Drosophila melanogaster: one gene and its partners. The protein of the gene in region 4 interacts with the protein of the main gene of each other region in a pairwise test. Each region holds a gene or a part of one and is shown on either strand. Other genes may lie near its edges.

The links.
Region 1: the proteins of Ccp84Ab (region 4) and bol interact in a two-hybrid assay, tested with the Drosophila melanogaster proteins (one large-scale study listed by BioGRID).
Region 2: the proteins of Ccp84Ab (region 4) and CG12723 interact in a two-hybrid assay, tested with the Drosophila melanogaster proteins (one large-scale study listed by BioGRID).
Region 3: the proteins of Ccp84Ab (region 4) and Marf1 interact in a two-hybrid assay, tested with the Drosophila melanogaster proteins (one large-scale study listed by BioGRID).

What each region holds. Positions count from the first base shown.
Region 1 is NT_037436.4:9,127,320-9,132,184, reverse strand, and holds the start of bol (boule), read left to right. Parts: upstream 1-1,829; 5' UTR 1,830-2,288; intron 2,289-4,865. UniProt on the Drosophila melanogaster protein: RNA-binding protein that plays a central role in spermatogenesis. Required for meiotic entry and germline differentiation, at the transition between G2 and M phases of meiosis I.
Region 2 is NC_004354.4:13,189,081-13,193,531, forward strand, and holds CG12723 (uncharacterized protein), read right to left. Parts: upstream 2,804-4,451; 5' UTR 2,693-2,803; coding exon 1,922-2,692; intron 1,857-1,921; coding exon 956-1,856; intron 893-955; coding exon 687-892; 3' UTR 563-686; downstream 1-562. Other genes in the region: Coq5 (coenzyme Q5), read right to left, coding at 4,252-4,451.
Region 3 is NT_033779.5:22,309,970-22,314,965, forward strand, and holds the start of Marf1 (meiosis regulator and mRNA stability factor 1), read left to right. Parts: upstream 1-1,957; 5' UTR 1,958-2,069; intron 2,070-4,996.
Region 4 is NT_033777.3:6,701,412-6,704,668, forward strand, and holds Ccp84Ab (Ccp84Ab), read right to left. Parts: upstream 1,467-3,257; 5' UTR 1,409-1,466; coding exon 1,397-1,408; intron 1,321-1,396; coding exon 667-1,320; 3' UTR 557-666; downstream 1-556. Other genes in the region: Ccp84Aa, read left to right, coding at 2,736-2,747, 2,803-3,257.

The DNA of each region.
Region 1 (4,865 bases), on a different chromosome or scaffold from region 4:
AAAGCACACAAAGACTCCAATGACGATAACTGAAACACCAGAACATGCTTTCGATAGAGTTGTTGTGGACACAATTGGTCCACTACCCAAGTCAGAAAATGGTAACGAGTACGCAGTCACTCTCATATGTGATTTAACCAAGTACTTAGTTGCCATACCAATAGCAAATAAAAGCGCAAAAACAGTCGCAAAAGCTATATTTGAATCTTTTATTCTAAAGTACGGTCCAATGAAGACGTTCATAACGGACATGGGAACAGAGTATAAGAATTCAATAATTACTGACCTGTGTAAATATTTGAAAATAAAAAATATAACATCAACAGCTCATCACCACCAGACAGTTGGAGTAGTAGAAAGAAGTCATAGAACTTTAAACGAGTATATACGATCCTACATATCGACGGACAAAACCGATTGGGACGTATGGCTTCAATATTTCGTATACTGCTTCAACACGACCCAATCTATGGTACATAATTATTGTCCATATGAATTAGTTTTCGGTAGAACAAGTAATTTACCAAAACATTTTAATAAACTACATAGCATAGAACCAATATATAACATAGATGATTACGCTAAGGAGAGTAAATATAGGTTAGAGGTAGCATATGCTCGAGCAAGAAAACTTCTTGAAGCACACAAAGAAAAAAATAAAGAAAATTATGACTTAAAAATAAAAGACATAGAATTAGAAGTAGGAGATAAAGTTTTACTAAGAAATGAGGTAGGTCATAAATTAGACTTTAAATATACGGGGCCCTATAAGATAGAAAGCATAGGAGATAATAACAATATTACGCTACTTACTAATAAAAACAAAAAACAAATAGTTCATAAAGATAGATTAAAGAAATTTCATTCATGATTGAATTTAAACTTATATTTTCCTTAATCATTTATACAAATTTTCCATACACTACGTATATTTTTATCTTTGCATTATAAAATCAACTATTGTTGTTCAAACAAAAACACAAACAAAATAAAAATAAAAATAAAATAATTTGCATTTAATAATCAAAATAACTTCACTAGGTTACGTTATTTTTCAAAAGGAGGGAGATGTAGTATGTGCCTATGCAATATTAAGAACAATTAAATAAAATAGCATATTAACTTATGGCAGCACTTTGTTGCTATGTTTATGTTTATGCACGCAGTTAGGCCAGGGCGGATGTAACATGATCACCCACTCGAAGGCCACAAAGTATAAGTGCATTGCCCACTCGAAGGCAAAAAGTATAAGTGCATGGTCAGCATTCACACGCCGACCAAATACATATTACATACGTACATACATATCTCGCTCTCCCGATAAGCCTAGATATATAAGATATACATAAGAACGCCGCTCCGCTGCTGGCGTACCCGGCAGCGCAGCTACGCGGATTAGCCTAAGTCAAAATATATAAAAAACTGTAAAATCGGAGAGACTCTGTAGACGTTGAGCTGACAGAACCATTTCTGCCTACTCTAAAATCAAAAGAAGAAATTGAATAAATATATGTCAGCCCGACGGCTGCCTTCAACTTAAAACGGACTTGTGTTCTTAATTGGAGTTCATCATTACACGAGAGCAGTTGTAGAACTAAAATTGTTGTGCTATATCGCTAAACGGTGAACGGTAAATATTGAAGAGAGTTTTCCTGGCTTCAATTTTCCTTTGCAATCGCCCCCACCATCCTTGGAATTTTGGGTTTTTTGGAAGAGAAAAACACATGTGGTGTGTCGCCACAGTGTTTTGGTTTTTCTCGGCCGCCCAAGTAGACGGCGCGTAGTTTTTCATTTTGACGGGAGTTTTCCTTTCGGTCGTCGCCTTACACTCATTTCTAATTGTGATTCGTAGGAAGTAAGTTGTCTAGTGCTATATATATATATATTCAAGTAAAATTGTTTTAAATCGGAACACACAACAATAATATATACAAGTAAACACCACTAAATATCGGAAAAGAAAGAAGAGCAAATAATTAAATTACAAAAGAAACCAAGAGAATATCAAGCTAAATCCCATCATCCCATCATCCCATCGTTTTTGGTCTTCTGGTTCTTGTTCATCACCGACGTTATTGATATTGATATTGAATACTGGATATTAAGATACATATATACAAACGCATCGTATCTGGGATAAACGTTCATCACAAGGAATATTAATGATACGCAAAGGCTGTAACTGTAAACTGTGTCCCCTCTCACGTAAGACGTAACGTAAGGCAGCCTGTGGAAACGACGTAGTTTGGACGCAATCAGAAAAATCTCCAAGGAGGACGCAGCTAACGGTGAGTTTTCCTGATGACAGAACAGGGGATTGCTTTTGGGTGGGGGGAGGATGAATGTCACTCGCAGGGAAAATGAAAAATGCCAGGCGAAAATTCTTGGCCATGCAACTCGTTTGGCCGCTCTGCCTCTTTCGCTCCCGCGTACGCTTATGTGTGTGTTTATGCAGCGGAAAACGTGTATTCTTGAGAAAAACCAGAAAATCGAAACCCGGAATTGGGTCAGTATGTCACACGCCGTCCCGCTCCCACCGATTCCAATTCCGATTCCGATTCGAGCTGCTAGTCTGGCTAAAAACTCTGGCTAAAACGTGTTTCGTGCTTAGTCAATTTGTTCTTTTTCATCTAGTCGCAGCTGCGCTGCCGCAGTTGGCGTCGCTGCACGGCCACTTGACTAAAAGCGGCCTAAACAGCATCGCCTCCAGAATGCCTAAAAAACAAAACAACAACATGTAGTGCCGCTGCACGTGTGCGAAAGAGAGGGCGGCGAAAGGTGGGAAAAAGACAGAATGTCTGTCACCCGCGCGACCAACTTAAATACCCTGTACTTATGTGAGGGAATATTGTAGAACAGCTTATTAGTATAGATTCTACACAATAAAACCGTTTAATCATATCACGAAATATTGATAATTAGTACATACAAAACATATGTGGTTTTGTCAGCATAACAAATAATATTATAATAATATAAGGTCAATACATGAGATTTTTAGGCCCTAATATAATTTTCCTAGAGGCAGAACTGCTTTTTTATTTATTATTAATTGCTAGATTCTTTTATACAAAGATAGTTACTTTTTAACTTACACATGTATGTACATATGTATGTGAATGTACATATATGTATATGCTGAGTATCTCCTATTCGCCAGCTTATCTTTTGTGATGTAAAATGATAAATGGCTCGCTCTCCGACTTTCGTAGTTTTGCCTCTCTCTAGTTTTTCGGCCACTCGCTTCACTTGATCTTGCACTCGGATTTCGGCCGAGTTGCAGTCGACAGCGCTGTCAGCGTCGACGGCGACTGCGGCGGCGGCGCTTTTACCTTGAGCACGCCTGCACTTGTCACAGCCCCTCCCCCCGCCCACCGACTCACACGCCGTTTGAATTTGAACTTCTGAAAAAGCCAACACCTTTCGAAATTGTAGCCGCTTTTATTTCTTTTTCTTTTGCCTCCGAGCAGCGGCATTTTTATATTTCTGATGTTTGCTAATAAAATTATTACGACTTGGCCGACAGCGGCTGCTAATGCGTTTTAAGGTCGCCGACGCTGCTCTTGTTGATTTTGATCCAATAAAAAAATGTGATGATGCCCCGCTTAGATTTCTCGGTCCATTTAACATGTGTCCATTGGCCCAGGATCCGATTTGATTTATTTCAAAGTTATTTATTATACAGTCAGGCGAAAAGCAAAACAAACATGAATGGGGAAAATTGAAGGCAAATGGCAGACAGCTGGTGCTCATTTTCCGGGATGCGAAAAAGGGATAGAATTGGGATAGTGCACTGAGAAAAATCAGTGAAAGAGTTCATATCATATCATACTGCATATGTTTGCATCTCAAGAATCTCTTTGTATGAGTAGAGATCAAATGGATAAGGAAACAGCTTTCGTTCATGAGATGTCTATCTCTAAAAACTACTTATAGGTGGAAATTTATTCTAGACAAGGGTAGAGAGCACTGCAAATACGTATCCAAAAACAACTCCCCAGATAATTCATCATTACATCATAACCGTTGCGAATTCATGACTAATGGCCGATGATTTTTCTCTCTGTGGGGAATACGCGACGTCGTGGGATAGGGATAACAACACGGAAGAGGCTCCATTATAGGTTGCTGGTTTACTAGTTAACTGGGCTCCAGCCAAGGGAGCGAAAGGGAAAGGTGACGAACGAGAGGGAGAGAGCGAGAGAGCTAGGGGGAATCTGAATTACAGAGAGTGGGCGGGGGTGGTGACACTGACAGTGGAGCACCTTCGTCATCGTCAAACATTCGGGCTGTATAAGAGCAATAAATAATGCACACGAAGAGCAGTGATGAGAGCCAATGATATGGGAAAATATCGGACGAGAAATTCGACAGAGAGAGAGAGAGAGAGAGAAAGCGGAGAGAAATTTGGGGGGCGAGCGTAAGAGATTCGCCTTGGGGGGTTGATTGTGTTTAATTTTTGCACTTAAGAGCGCAAAAAGTGGCTTTGATTTTCCGCCGGCCCTTCTCACGCAGCTTGGGGCATGCCAACTTTGATGGCCGATTTGACCAACCCCCAGGAGGGAATTCCCAACTTGGCTCATTAAATTGATAACATTAAGCAGGCGATATTTAATTTGATTTTCTCCAGACACAAACACAATCTGATACACAAATTGTATAGATTCTATAAGTTATAGTTTTCTGAAGATTTAAACTTAAAACAAAATTACTGTACTGTTTTCATAGTGTAAAATACCTATGCTAATTTTAGTTTTCGTGGCACTTTTAAATATTATACATAAGCATGATAATTTGTCAAAGTTTCTTGTAGTGCATATATTTTTCGCAGAGAGCATCCACTCAAAAATATTTCCGTATTCTTG
Region 2 (4,451 bases), on a different chromosome or scaffold from region 4:
GTAAGATCGCGGATCGGTGGATCCAAAAATATATATGCGCGGTATATAGTCGGAATATAGTCGATTTTTGGTCCGCAGCAGACGCGCGTTCGCCGCCAACGATAACAAACAACTGAGCTGAAAAAAAGGCGAGCGAATGCCTGCAACATGTGGCATGCGGCCTTTCCAGGTGCCCCGCCCACTGGCGCCGCCCAGCCGACCGCCCAACCGCCCACTTTTCACCCAACCAAGCACACAACGCACTCATTCAGCGCGCCGGCTGGCAATTTATGAATGAAAAGCTGAACGGGAAAAGCTCCAAAGAAACCAACGAACGCCAAGTTCAAGGTGAAAAGCCCTTTGGGGGAAAAGCGCGCGCCGGAAAAGCTCAGGAAATGAAAATGCGCCGAGCCAAAGGGAATTTCCTAATGAAATTCAAATAGATAATATGTATGTGCCAAAAGGAAATAAACTAAGATATTATGTCTATATCTCGCATATACTTTGCAATAGAATTAGTTATTTAAATTATTTATTATATTTATTATTATTACGCAATAAATAAACGATCTGTTCAATTTTTCGATAAATAACTTATTTAATAGCAACATAATTTACAATACAAGTAGAGCACAAATGAACGAAGGCTTAAAAAAAAAAAACAAAAAAAAATTTGAAAAGATCCCTAGGTGGAGTGAGTGGTGGACTCAGTAGTGGTGGTAGTTGTGGCCCTGTTGCTGCTGTTGCTGCTGCTGCTGCTGCTGCTGGTGCTGCTGCTGCGCCAAGTTGGCCTGGGCGAAAATGTGCTCCAGCTCGGCATCGGTCAGCTGGTCAAAGATGCCGCCCTGACCACCGATTCCGGCACTACTGGCACTCAGGGCCGACGGTTGGGATCCCACGGGTGGCAGGTAACCTGGAAAATATTCGTTTGAAATATAGCATAATAATATATATCCATAACGTCATCTGAGCTCACCTTCAGCTGGCGCACTTCCGTATGGCGGGAGCAGGGTGATCGAGGGTCGATTCGGCGACGCTGGCGCGGATTCGGTGGGTGGACTATAGAATACCGGCTTCCAGGGCTGCTGGACGGATGGCCGCTGTGGTGGCACCTCCGACGGCGTCTCCGGCTCGGGTGATTGTGGGGGAATCTGCGGCGAGGCTATACCCGTGCCGGATTCAGGGCGGACGGGAGTGGAGCCCGGCAGCGGTACAATTCCGCCGGGGAATTGCGACTCTGGTTGGCCAAAAGTGGGTGGCTGCTGCGGCAATGGTGGCTGTGGAGCAGCCGGAAAGAATTGGCTAGTTGGTGGACTGGGGAAGGCCGGGACCGTGGGTACAGCTGGAACTCCTGGAACGGAGGGAGGTGATGGAATGGCTGGCGCCTGGGGGAACTGGGGAATCTGGGGAAAGCCGGGAAATTGAGGGAATCCGGGAAATTGTGGTATTTGGGGTATCTGCGGTATGGCCGGAATCTGTGGAATGGCGGGAACCTGTGGCACTTCTGGGGCTTCTGGTGCAGCTGGAACTGCCGGCTGGGCGGGCACAGCGGGTTGGGCTGGCACCGCTGGCTGAGCGGGCTGGAAGCTAAAGGTCGGCACACCGGGGAACTGAGGCGGTTGTGGGAACTGAGGGATCACCGGCAAATCCACAGCTGGGGGAGACGGAACACCGAAGGTCACTGTAGGTTGGATGGGTTGAACCGGTTGAAGGGGCTGAACCGGTTGGATTGGGCTAACTGGCTGCAGATGGGTGGTCACCGGTTGCACCGGTTGAAGGGGCTGAATGGGCTGGAGATGATGAACTGGCTGCACTGGCTGCACGGGCTGAACAGGCACTGCCGGAGCAGTCGGAGCATAGGTCTGCACATAAGTGGGCTGCAACAGAAAAGAATGAAATGGTCAACGGGATATTCCACAAGTTTCCTATGTAGCTAACTCACCTGCACGGCATGCACATGGCCATGAGCCGGAGCATGGAAGTGGACAGGCTTTACGGCGGACTGAAAGACCACGGGCTTCTGCAGGTGCTGGTGCGGATAGTTGACGCTGTACGAGGAGACGACCGCATTTCCGGGACGCAGGACGTACGAGGGCGGAGCCACGGCGGTGGACAAAGCGGTGGCCACGCCGGTGGACAAGGCAGTAGCGACTCCGGCGGGAATGGCACTGGCCACGCCACCGGGCAGACCGGTGGGCAATCCAACGGGCAGGGCTGAGGCGACGGCGGGCAGCAGGGCAGCGGGTGCGGGAGCTAAGGCGGGCAGCAAACCGGAACCGGAAACGAGCGGCTTGACCAGACCATGGCCGTATTTGACGAAGTGGCGGCGCGGAGGAGCGGCGGCCAGGAAGGCACTGCCTCCTGGCAGCTGCAGGCTATAGCCGTAGTGGGCGGCATAGGTGCGGGCGGGCCATTGGCCGTGCAGGTGGGCGTGGCCGTGTAGAATGCCACGCTTGTGCTTTCCGGTCGTGACCTCCACTTCCGTTTCCGGTTCGGTAACCACACTGGCCGTTGGGGCACTCTCCGCCACCGATTCCTCTTGTAGCGGGGCATCCTCGGAGGTCACTGTCAAAGTGGGCGTTGTGCTGGCGGGGGGCGTGACCGATCGACTGGTGTGACGCAAACGTAAGCCCGCCTCAGCTCGATGAGAAACCAAGATGACAGCCAAGACCATCAGAAGATGGAGGCTCCTCGAACTGGCCAAGAGATTCATTTCGATTCAGTGGACTTGATTTCTATATGCGTATATTTGGACACTATGTAATATATCGCCTCGCCTCGCGTTTAATCCGTTTGCTGCGATCGCCGACAAGAAAATGAAATGAACTTCCTTGGTCGCTGTTGTATTTATAAAGCGGACATCGCGGCACAGTGGAGTGGCACATACCCACTGTGCATACCAATCGGTGGCACTGGTGGTGCTAGCAATGCACCACCGTCAGCGGCTCATCGGCATGGCATACGGCATGGATTGGGCAGTTTATGACTTTTACGCTGCCATTTCACCTGCCGCAATCGAAGACCCCTCACCCACTGACCACTGACCACTGAGCAGCGCCTCATTATGCTGCGCCACCTGACCACGCACTGTGGTACCGTAGATTGTGCGCATATATATGGTATGTATATTCCTCAAGTATGGAATATTCCTACTACACTTCATATCTAAGTTTACTTCTTATTCAGATATCGAGATTATTATCATAAAAATCTAAAAGGCTAAAACTCTATATAGTTTGCCAACAACTTTGCCCACTAGTCCCACTGATTGCCTGGCCCCGCTCCACTGTCCCATTGGCCGGAATCCACCTACGCATGCGCAGCACGTTGCCGCACGCACCAAACTTTTGCTTTCAATGGCCTGCATGTTCCGCATGCTTTTTGTGCTCAGTTTTTTTTGTTTTTTATCGCCGGACTCTTTTCACTTTCGATTGCCGGAGATGGAAGGTCCGAAGGTTTATGATTTGGCTGCAATTTAGATACAAATCAAATGTGTCTCCGCTTACATAATCCGGCCAATAATATGGGCGGCTATTCGGGTGTCCAATCCGTGTTAATCAGTCGCCGGGTGAAAGCATAATAAAGCCATTGTAATAAAAGCAAAAGCGCACAATTGCAAAGCACCAATTAGCAATTACCTATTAAGCATGGCACGGTCAATTATTTTGATGGCATTTCAATGCTATTATTTGAATTTCGTTAAAATTCAACATTCACACGCATAAATTTCACCTGCACTACATCTGATGGCGAACTGAAGTCAATAGATAAGTGGATAGTTTCTGCATTATATCACATCCCATCGCCGTAAATGGACTTTCGATTAGCCTACATGGAGATTTTCACTTTTTTTTGGAAACGACCCGTTGGGTGTGTGGAATTTAAATCGATTACAGTGCCTTACACCTGGCATCTGGTACAGTTCGGTTATTGGGCTACCACCATATCGCCCTTTGCATCTAAGTGGGTCTGGCACACAATCCTCAAGGTCTTTCCCAGGCCTTGCCGCCGGAGATGTCATCAGTTTGCCGTTTGGGTTTGCCTTTTGGCACATGAAGTACATATATTTGACAAAGAGCTACATAAACCTCAAAATGTAAACATACAGAAATAAAAGCCGCCAGAGGAGCTTGTTTAATTCGATGCTTTATGACCTGCCCGACGTGAGCAGCATGAAAAAACGCAAAAAACCAACAATATAGATTATAGTTAAGCCCCATCAAATGGTCTTAGGATTTCCTAATCGCTTACAACAAATATCATCCTCGGCTGTCACAGTTTGAAGCCGGAGTGAATGCTGACCACGCCGAAGGTTAGGTTCTCGTAGGACACCTGATCGAATCCGGCCTGCTCGATCATTTGCTTGAATTGCTCCTGCTTGGGAAACCGTCGGATGCTCTCAACGAGATACTGGTACGCCTGCCACTGACCAGCCAGCAATTGGCCCATGGGCGGAATCACCTGGAAGGAGT
Region 3 (4,996 bases), on a different chromosome or scaffold from region 4:
TTAGTACCTATTTAATGGTATTTGTAAATGTCAGTTTATCTCCTCCTTTATATTGAAGATTTTTAAATTTATTTAATAAACTTCTCAATTTAAAATATTCCTCCTTATTTAGATGATGTAATTGATATTGTGAAAAATCAATTTCTTTTTGATTCCTGATATAAATCAGGATTGTAATTGGATTGGTGTTTTTTGGATATAAAAATTCTGGGTTCTTTCCGATTCTGAGGTAATTAATTATTTATTAATTTCTAACTGATTGCGCATTTGTCAACAATTTTCTACCAATTACGATATGCTAATTATCGTAACTGTGTACATGAAATGTTTGATTTATTTTTAAAATACTATTGCTGGGTAAGATAATCAAGCTTTTCGAAGTAGTAGGCATTTGATGTTAAAACTTCACATATACTATTTTGATATGTATTTTCCATTGATCATATTATTTGTTGATCCTGTATCTAGTAGGCATTTGTATGTGCACCCTTTGTATACTATTTTTATGTATTCGTGTTGTCGGGGCCGTTGACCGAAAATTTTCGTTTAGTTCAGAACCATTTTGATATATATATATTTTGATATATAATATTTCGTTATTAATTTGTACGGGTTGGATCGGTTGTTGCCCTTCATTTATGAACCCATGATTTTGATATGGATTGTATTGATTTTGGTCATAATACTGTTGTTCGTAATAATTAGGTTGGACTTGTTCGAATTCATGTGCGTCTTGGAATCTCATTTCGTCAATAGACATTTTGAAGTTAGAATTCTTAGTTGTGGAGGCTTGTTGTATTGTAGTTGAGGGTATGTATTTCTTATAAAATGTGCTGTTTGAGGATTTTGGATTTGTTGGAAATGACTTTTGGGAATACTTGGTTGAATGCTGATATATGGGCTGGACTTGAAATAATTGGGTGGTATTGATTAAAATTAGGATGGAAGGGTTGAGAATATTGTGGGTAACTTGGTGGATATTGATACAAATACCCAATTGTATTGAAGTTGTGTGATTTTGAATTCAGATAAGGATTTGAGTTTTATTACGGATTTCGAGAAATTTGTTCAATCCAAAATTATTATGTTCTTTATAAATTCCCTCACTCTGTGCAATAGTAAAGTCTGTAATATCACGATGAGCCAAAATATTGTAGTAAATAATTGTATTGGTAGTTATAAGAGTCACTCGTGGAGTCAAAAAGGCATACCAGATTCGTAGAAAAGTATGTAACAGTCGGGAGAAAGCGTTTCCGACTGTATAGAGCTTACATATGTATAAATATATTTGATAGGGATCAATAGCCGGAGTCGATCTGTCCGTGTCAACGTCGAGATCTCAGGAAATATAAGAACTAGACGGTTGAGATTAAGCATACAGATTCTAGAGACATAGACGCAGCGCAAGTTTGTTGACGCATATTGCCACGCCCACTCTAACGGCCACAAGCCGCCCAAAACTGTCAGTTATTAGTCGATTTGACAAAAACTTTTTGCCACGCCCACTGTAACGCCAAGAAGCCGCCGAAGTGGTCACGCCCACACATTTGAACAATTTTTAATTACTTCTCATTTTATTCCCCAATATCTATCGATATCCCACAAAAATGATAAAAATTTCGCGTTTGCATTCATACTAGCTGAGTAAAGGGTATCTGATAGTTGGGGAAAACGACTATAGCATTCTCTCTTGTTGTATATCTGTAAGTTCATTGGATGAATTGAATTTCCTCCCAATTTTTCCTTTTTTTATTTTTTTTTTGTTTGTTGAACAAGGTGCTTGTTAAAGAAACTACAATTGAGCCAAGACAATTTTATAAAACTACAAAAAGAAAAATTATTTAATCAAAATAATAAAAATTTAATTAACCCCAAACTTTTCAATCACCTTCCAGTGCCTATGCCCGCCACCTTCCAGCCTCCACACAAGTCATCAATGTTTTCTACACACGTAGCCTCCTCAGTTGTTTAAGGGATCACAAAGTCTAAGCTTCGCATGTGCCGTGTTGTTTTAAGTGAATTTTGAGTTTTATTGTCGTAAATTATATAATTAGTTCATATACAATCATGTAAGTACAACAAATATTAATAAATATTCTTAGTGGCATGACCATTAGTAAAATATTAATTGAATTACTATATTACTTAATCTAAGCCTATGATTATAGTACCAATATTAATTAAGAATGATCTATGAATAACGATTTTAATCATTTTAATAATCCAATGACTGGTTAAGGCTCTAGGCAAATTACTTAAACAAGTGCTAACGAACATTACATTGACTGCATTTCGCGCGGGAGTATACATATACATACACATTTTTATGTACGCACATGTATGCCAAGAAAATGGCTTAAAACTAAATTCATGTAGAATTTGTATAGTGCACGATAAAAATGCAACCCAAATTCAACCATAAGCACATTTATTTTGATGGTCTGCAGCACTTCGCAAGTTTTGAAACCAATTCGGATATTATATTTTAAATTTCCTTTTCGTTTAGTATTCACAAAATCCGACGATTTTAAACACATATTCATATTCATATAGATAGTTGAATTGAAACTGTTTTCCAACCAAATTGGTTGGAAATTGATATTGATGTGTGTTGTGGATTGGAAAGGAGGATGTGTCGTGTTGCTACGCGTGCATCTTATGAAGAGTGTTGGGATTTATATTGATGTACACATAAACATACGTAACAATTTAAGCTAGGGCTAAAACAGATTAAATAAATTCGAGTTAATAAAATAAAATGGCTCATTATGCACGCTTTTCGTATAATTTCCCGAGCCTATAAAATATGTACAGTATGAAGTGAGCATACACCACATGGCTTAAGCTTAGAAAAAAATATCTTTATTTTTTATTGTACAAAAAATTAATGATGTGATAGTTGTGCGGATGATCTTAAATCCTGCTCGTGGAAGCATTTTTTTATATCATGAACCTAAACAGGTGTCGAATTGTTGTTGGATAGTTTGCTGTTATCACTCGATCAGAATCTATATGCGAAAACAATTTTGCCCACGGCCACTCTACTTCAAGCCACTTCAACTTCAAGCCGCCCACACGTTCGAAAAATTATTTTATTTGTCTACAGTTTTTTTGACAATTTTAATCGATAACCTAATAAAATGAAACAGTACATTTTTCTTGTGCTCTCCCACTATCTGAGTATCCGGTATCAAGAAACTCGACTATATCGTAATTTCTTGTCTTACCTCTTAAGTATTAAGTATTACCTAGTATTAAAATATATATTTGAAATATGTATGTATAAGATGAGTGCTGTGTTTCTCATCTTCCTATATATTATGAAAATTACAAGCTTAAAGTTAACCGCTTAAGACAGATCACCATACGCTCCCTCGATTAATAATTACCTGGAAAGCCTGTTGAGCCTAGATTTTCTTCGCATAAAGTAAATGTACATTTTTTTAACTCTATGCCGCGGAAAAACGTTGGTAATTTGGAAAAATTATATTCCGCCTACAAAAGGTAATCCTTTAAGTAATCCAAATGCTGTGTGATGGTACAGGTGTTGGAGGTGACCTGGAACAACGGACAGACGGCGATGACAGAAATGGGGCGGAGTCATTAAGAAACCATTATAAATGAGGATTCAGTTTGGTTTTATTAAGATTGCAGCGCTTTCTAATTCGGAAGAAATGTTACTTAACTACTACTTAACGAAATTCTGAATATTGTCAACAAAATCTGAAGAAAAATCAATGTACAAAATCTTAACAAATTCTGCAGAAGTTTGGAAAGGTGTGAAAATGAACTTCAGCAAGGTTCAAAAATCTGAAAACAAATTAGTAAAAAAAAAGCACATGTAATGTTTTAATGTAACCAGGGAGTACAAAATGTGTATACATTTCAGGTAACCATGAAAGCAAAGTAATATTTGAAAAGAAAATTAATTAGCTTCCTAGGTCACATCCCCAACCGTAGATGTCTATGAGCAAACTTCTTTGCCCGAATTCGGGAGTCAAGGGAGTCAAGGGAATTGGAGACCTATGCGGTTTTCAGGCACTACCGGTCCACAATAAAGTGGGGAAAACGCATATGCGGTCTTAGCCACTTATTTCTCATTTTGGACTGGACTTTGTTAAGAAGGTAAATGCAAATATTATTTTCGTAAAGAATTCTCTAGAACATGAAAGCGGCACAATAATGATAATTGTATTATTGAATCGTCGAGGGCCTTGGCAACCGGGACCGGGACATTTGCAGACCCTTATCAAGCCATTCCTTAATAAAATCGCTACTATCCAATCCGATTGGGAACGCGTAATTATTAAAAATAACCTTTTCCCAATGGGCGTATCGCATAGGTCATAATCAGAAAATCGAGATAACCTTACAACAACCGCGTGTGTGTTTTCGATAAAAAAGGACATTGTGAAAATGGCAATAAGAAAAACGTATCGTTATCCATTTTAAGAAACTAAAGAACGCTATTGACGCTGAATACTTTACAATACTTCAAATTATGGGAAAAGCTCCACATTTTACAACATCGGACCTTAAATCGTAATTCCATCAAATCGAGTAATTAGAGAAATACAGGGAAACCCCTGAAATATTTTTTAATGACGAACTGCATTTCTACAGAACTACAGAACTGCATTCTGCACCACTCGGACTGCAAATTGCACCAAATTTTTTCCAAAGGACAATCGATGATGCTTTGCGGAACAGATCTTAAATAAACATGCTACGTGTATGTCGATGACGTCAGTTCTTCACAAAAACTAAAGATCATCAAATAAGATATAGAACAGAGCTTAAAAAGTTTATAAAAGCCGGCATCAGGCAGTCTCAAGAAAAGTAAATCGAGGCCTTCCAATCACCTACGTTGATTTACCAAAACTAATATTGCCATCATTCATAGTGATGATGCTCTCTCGTACCTTTTAACTGTTTCCGTAATCAAAAATAATCGCGGAAGCAGACTTCTCATCTACGAAAATCTTTATCCGGCCAA
Region 4 (3,257 bases):
TAGCCCGGCTGGCCGGGATGGCCCATTTTATCACCCGGCCATTTATCACCCGGCAAGTAAAGTCATGACCCCATAATTTCCGTTTTATATTACAAAAATTAACAACAAAGGGATTCTCTTTGCATTGCGGTGGACGAGTCCTGCCATTTAAATGGAAATGACCGACACAAAGCCCAGAAATTTGTCTGCCCTTCAGACAGACAGGGGATCGGGATCAGGATCAAGATCCGCATTCGTAACGAAATCATCAAGCAGGCCAACGAAGTTCGTTGCCCCTGGCAGCATCCCTGAAGGATAGCTTAACAAAAGTCCAGACTGCACCACCAAAAGCACCACAAGAATTGCATTGCCCTAATGCTCCTAAGAATCCTTCGGCGAGGCTGGCTCCTACGATGTCTGTGAACTTTTTCGCACACTGAAGGCAAGAACTCGTTATGAAAACAAGCACATAAATAATGCAAACCAGAACAGGACAATGTGAACGACCTCTGAGAGTCCTTTGCCAGGAACTTACCTCTGAATAAGCAACACAAAACACTCTAGTCTTTCGTGATATATGTCTACATTTTTGTATGCATTTTTTTATTGGTGCTGTCAATAAATAAATGAACAGTTATAATAAAGCCAACAATTCTATATATGTACAGCGTCGATTTTAGCCAGGATCTAGTGGTGGTAGGCGACGGCGGGAGCCGAGTACGAGGTGTAGGTGGCAGCGGGGGCGGCATAGTGGGCGGGAGCTGCGTAGTGGGTGGGAGCAGCATAGGTGGCATATGCAGCGGGGGCAGCATAGTGAGCCACTGGGGCCACAGTCTTGACCACAGCAGGAGCAGCGTAGTGGGCAACTGGAGCAACGGTCTTGACCACAGCGGGAGCAGCGTAGTGGGCGACAGCAGGGGCGGCGTATTGGGCAACGGGAGCGGCGACGGTCTTCACAACGGGGGCAACGGCGACGGCCTTGACCAGGGGCTCACGGTTGACAACGGCGTTGAATCCGTTGATGGGATCGGCGGTGTACTGGACGGTCCTCTTGTAGCCGTCAGCGTCGATCAGGGAGTACTCTCCGCGTACCACATCTCCATCGCGCTCCTCCACCTGTCCCTTGTTGTCACCGGTTAGCTTGTCATCGACTCCGTAGGAGAAGCGGTACTGGGGGTGGGGGTCGTACTCCTCGGCGGCCTTGACCACGACCTTTTGGGCGACGGCCACGGGGGCGTGGGCGTAGGTGGCCACCGCTGGGGCAGCATGGTACACCTGTGGGGCGGCGATGGGAGCATAACCGGCGCTGGCCACGGCGACGAAGGCGAGGGCGAAGACAAACTAAATTCAAGAGCGTTAGATATCCAACCGGAATTTCGTATACAGTTGATCCCGGATTTCCATCGAGATGACTCACCTTGAAGGCCATGTTGCTAGGAGTGCTGATTGGTAGTTCTTTACAGAAGTGAACTGGATCTGCGAATGATACTTTTCTGTGTCCGATCGACAACTTTTATAGTAAATCAAGCTGCCAGCTCTGCTCTGCTTTGGCCCAATACGCCGACAGCACGTGTTATTTTCGCGGTGACAGCGAAATATATTAAATGCTTCTCGACTGCGATTGTTGTCGGGCAATAACTTGTACTTCCTGTTCGTGGCGCTAAGCTCAGTGGGTGTGCAAATGCTTGTGGCCACAGATTCTAAACCCGTCAGCACCGAAAGAGTGAAAGATCTTTGGGGAAAGGTTTGCGTAATACCGAAAGGGCTTTGCCGGCCGCAATGTGTGGCTAATTACTTTGTTATATAACGCTGTATAAGATCGCTTTAAGAAGATATACTGATCATATATTTTTTTCTTACAAAGCAAATCGCAAAATTTTGATTAGGTTTTTTTAAAGATTTTCGAATCTTTAGAGTTCACTGTGCAATCTGATTGATATTCTTTAAATACTCTATACATATATGATTATAATTATACGAACGGATTTGCAATCTTAAAGAGTTGAATGAACTTTACACTGTGCTGGATAAGAAAAAACTCTTGAAAAAAGATTAATATTTTTTGAAATTGGTTGACACTACAAAAACTGTGGTTCTAAAAACTAAAAGCTAAGTTGGGTCTGCGTTAGTGTCCTAAGGAACACAACTACTTAGCTACATCTAAATACCTAACATTCTATTTACACTCAGATAATAATTTATCAGATACACATTTAAGAGTTTGGCATTTATGGGTCTTAGAACATAAACGTTAAAAATATATTACACAATGCATTATTTTTGTACAATATATAGAAAATCGCTGCTTCATTCAAAATAAATGCCCTTTTGCGAAGTCTGTGGGAATCAAGGCCACCCACCAGACATCCACGATCCCATCCTTAAAATATCTTGGATAATCGAAACGCTATTAGCAGATGCAATCCATTCCCAACTACCAATTTTAACGTGGGCACCGCGCGAATCCGCCGAATCCTTTCTAAATAATTGGACTGCATCTCGCATTCGCAAATCCCTTCTCCTCTCTTGGTTCTCTGCCGGCGTCTCTGCCGACTTTGCCGTTGACTTCGCAGAGCGGTGACTTCGCGCTAATTTGGAGCATGATATTCAGAAGGCCAAGCGTAAGCACCTTGCTTCACCTGAGCAGAAACTGCAAGCGGGAGCTATAAAACCGCTGGCCGGCCAGAAACCGTATCATTCAGCCATCAGCACCGTTTCCGCAAAGAACTAACCCACGAATCCAAAAACCCTATAAAATGGCATTCAAGGTGAGTCCTGTGGTATCCCACCAGAACCCGTTTCTCTAACGAATATGTTCCCCAGTTTGTCTTCGCCCTCGCCTTCGTCGCCGTGGCCAGCGCCGGTTATGCCCCCATCGCCGCCCCACAGGTGTACCACGCTGCCCCAGCGGTGGCCACCTACGCCCACGCCCCCGTGGCCGTCGCCCAGAAGGTCGTGGTCAAGGCCGCCGAGGAGTACGACCCCCACCCCCAGTACCGCTTCTCCTACGGAGTCGATGACAAGCTAACCGGTGACAACAAGGGACAGGTGGAGGAGCGCGATGGAGATGTGGTACGCGGAGAGTACTCCCTGATCGACGCTGACGGCTACAAGAGGATCGTCCAGTACACCGCCGATCCCATCAACGGATTCAACGCCGTTGTCAACCGTGAGCCCCTGGTCAAGGCCGTCGCCGTTGCCCCCGTTGTGAAGACCGTCGCCGCTCCCGTTGCCCAATACGCCGCCCCTGCTGTCGCCCACTACGCTGCTCCCGCTGT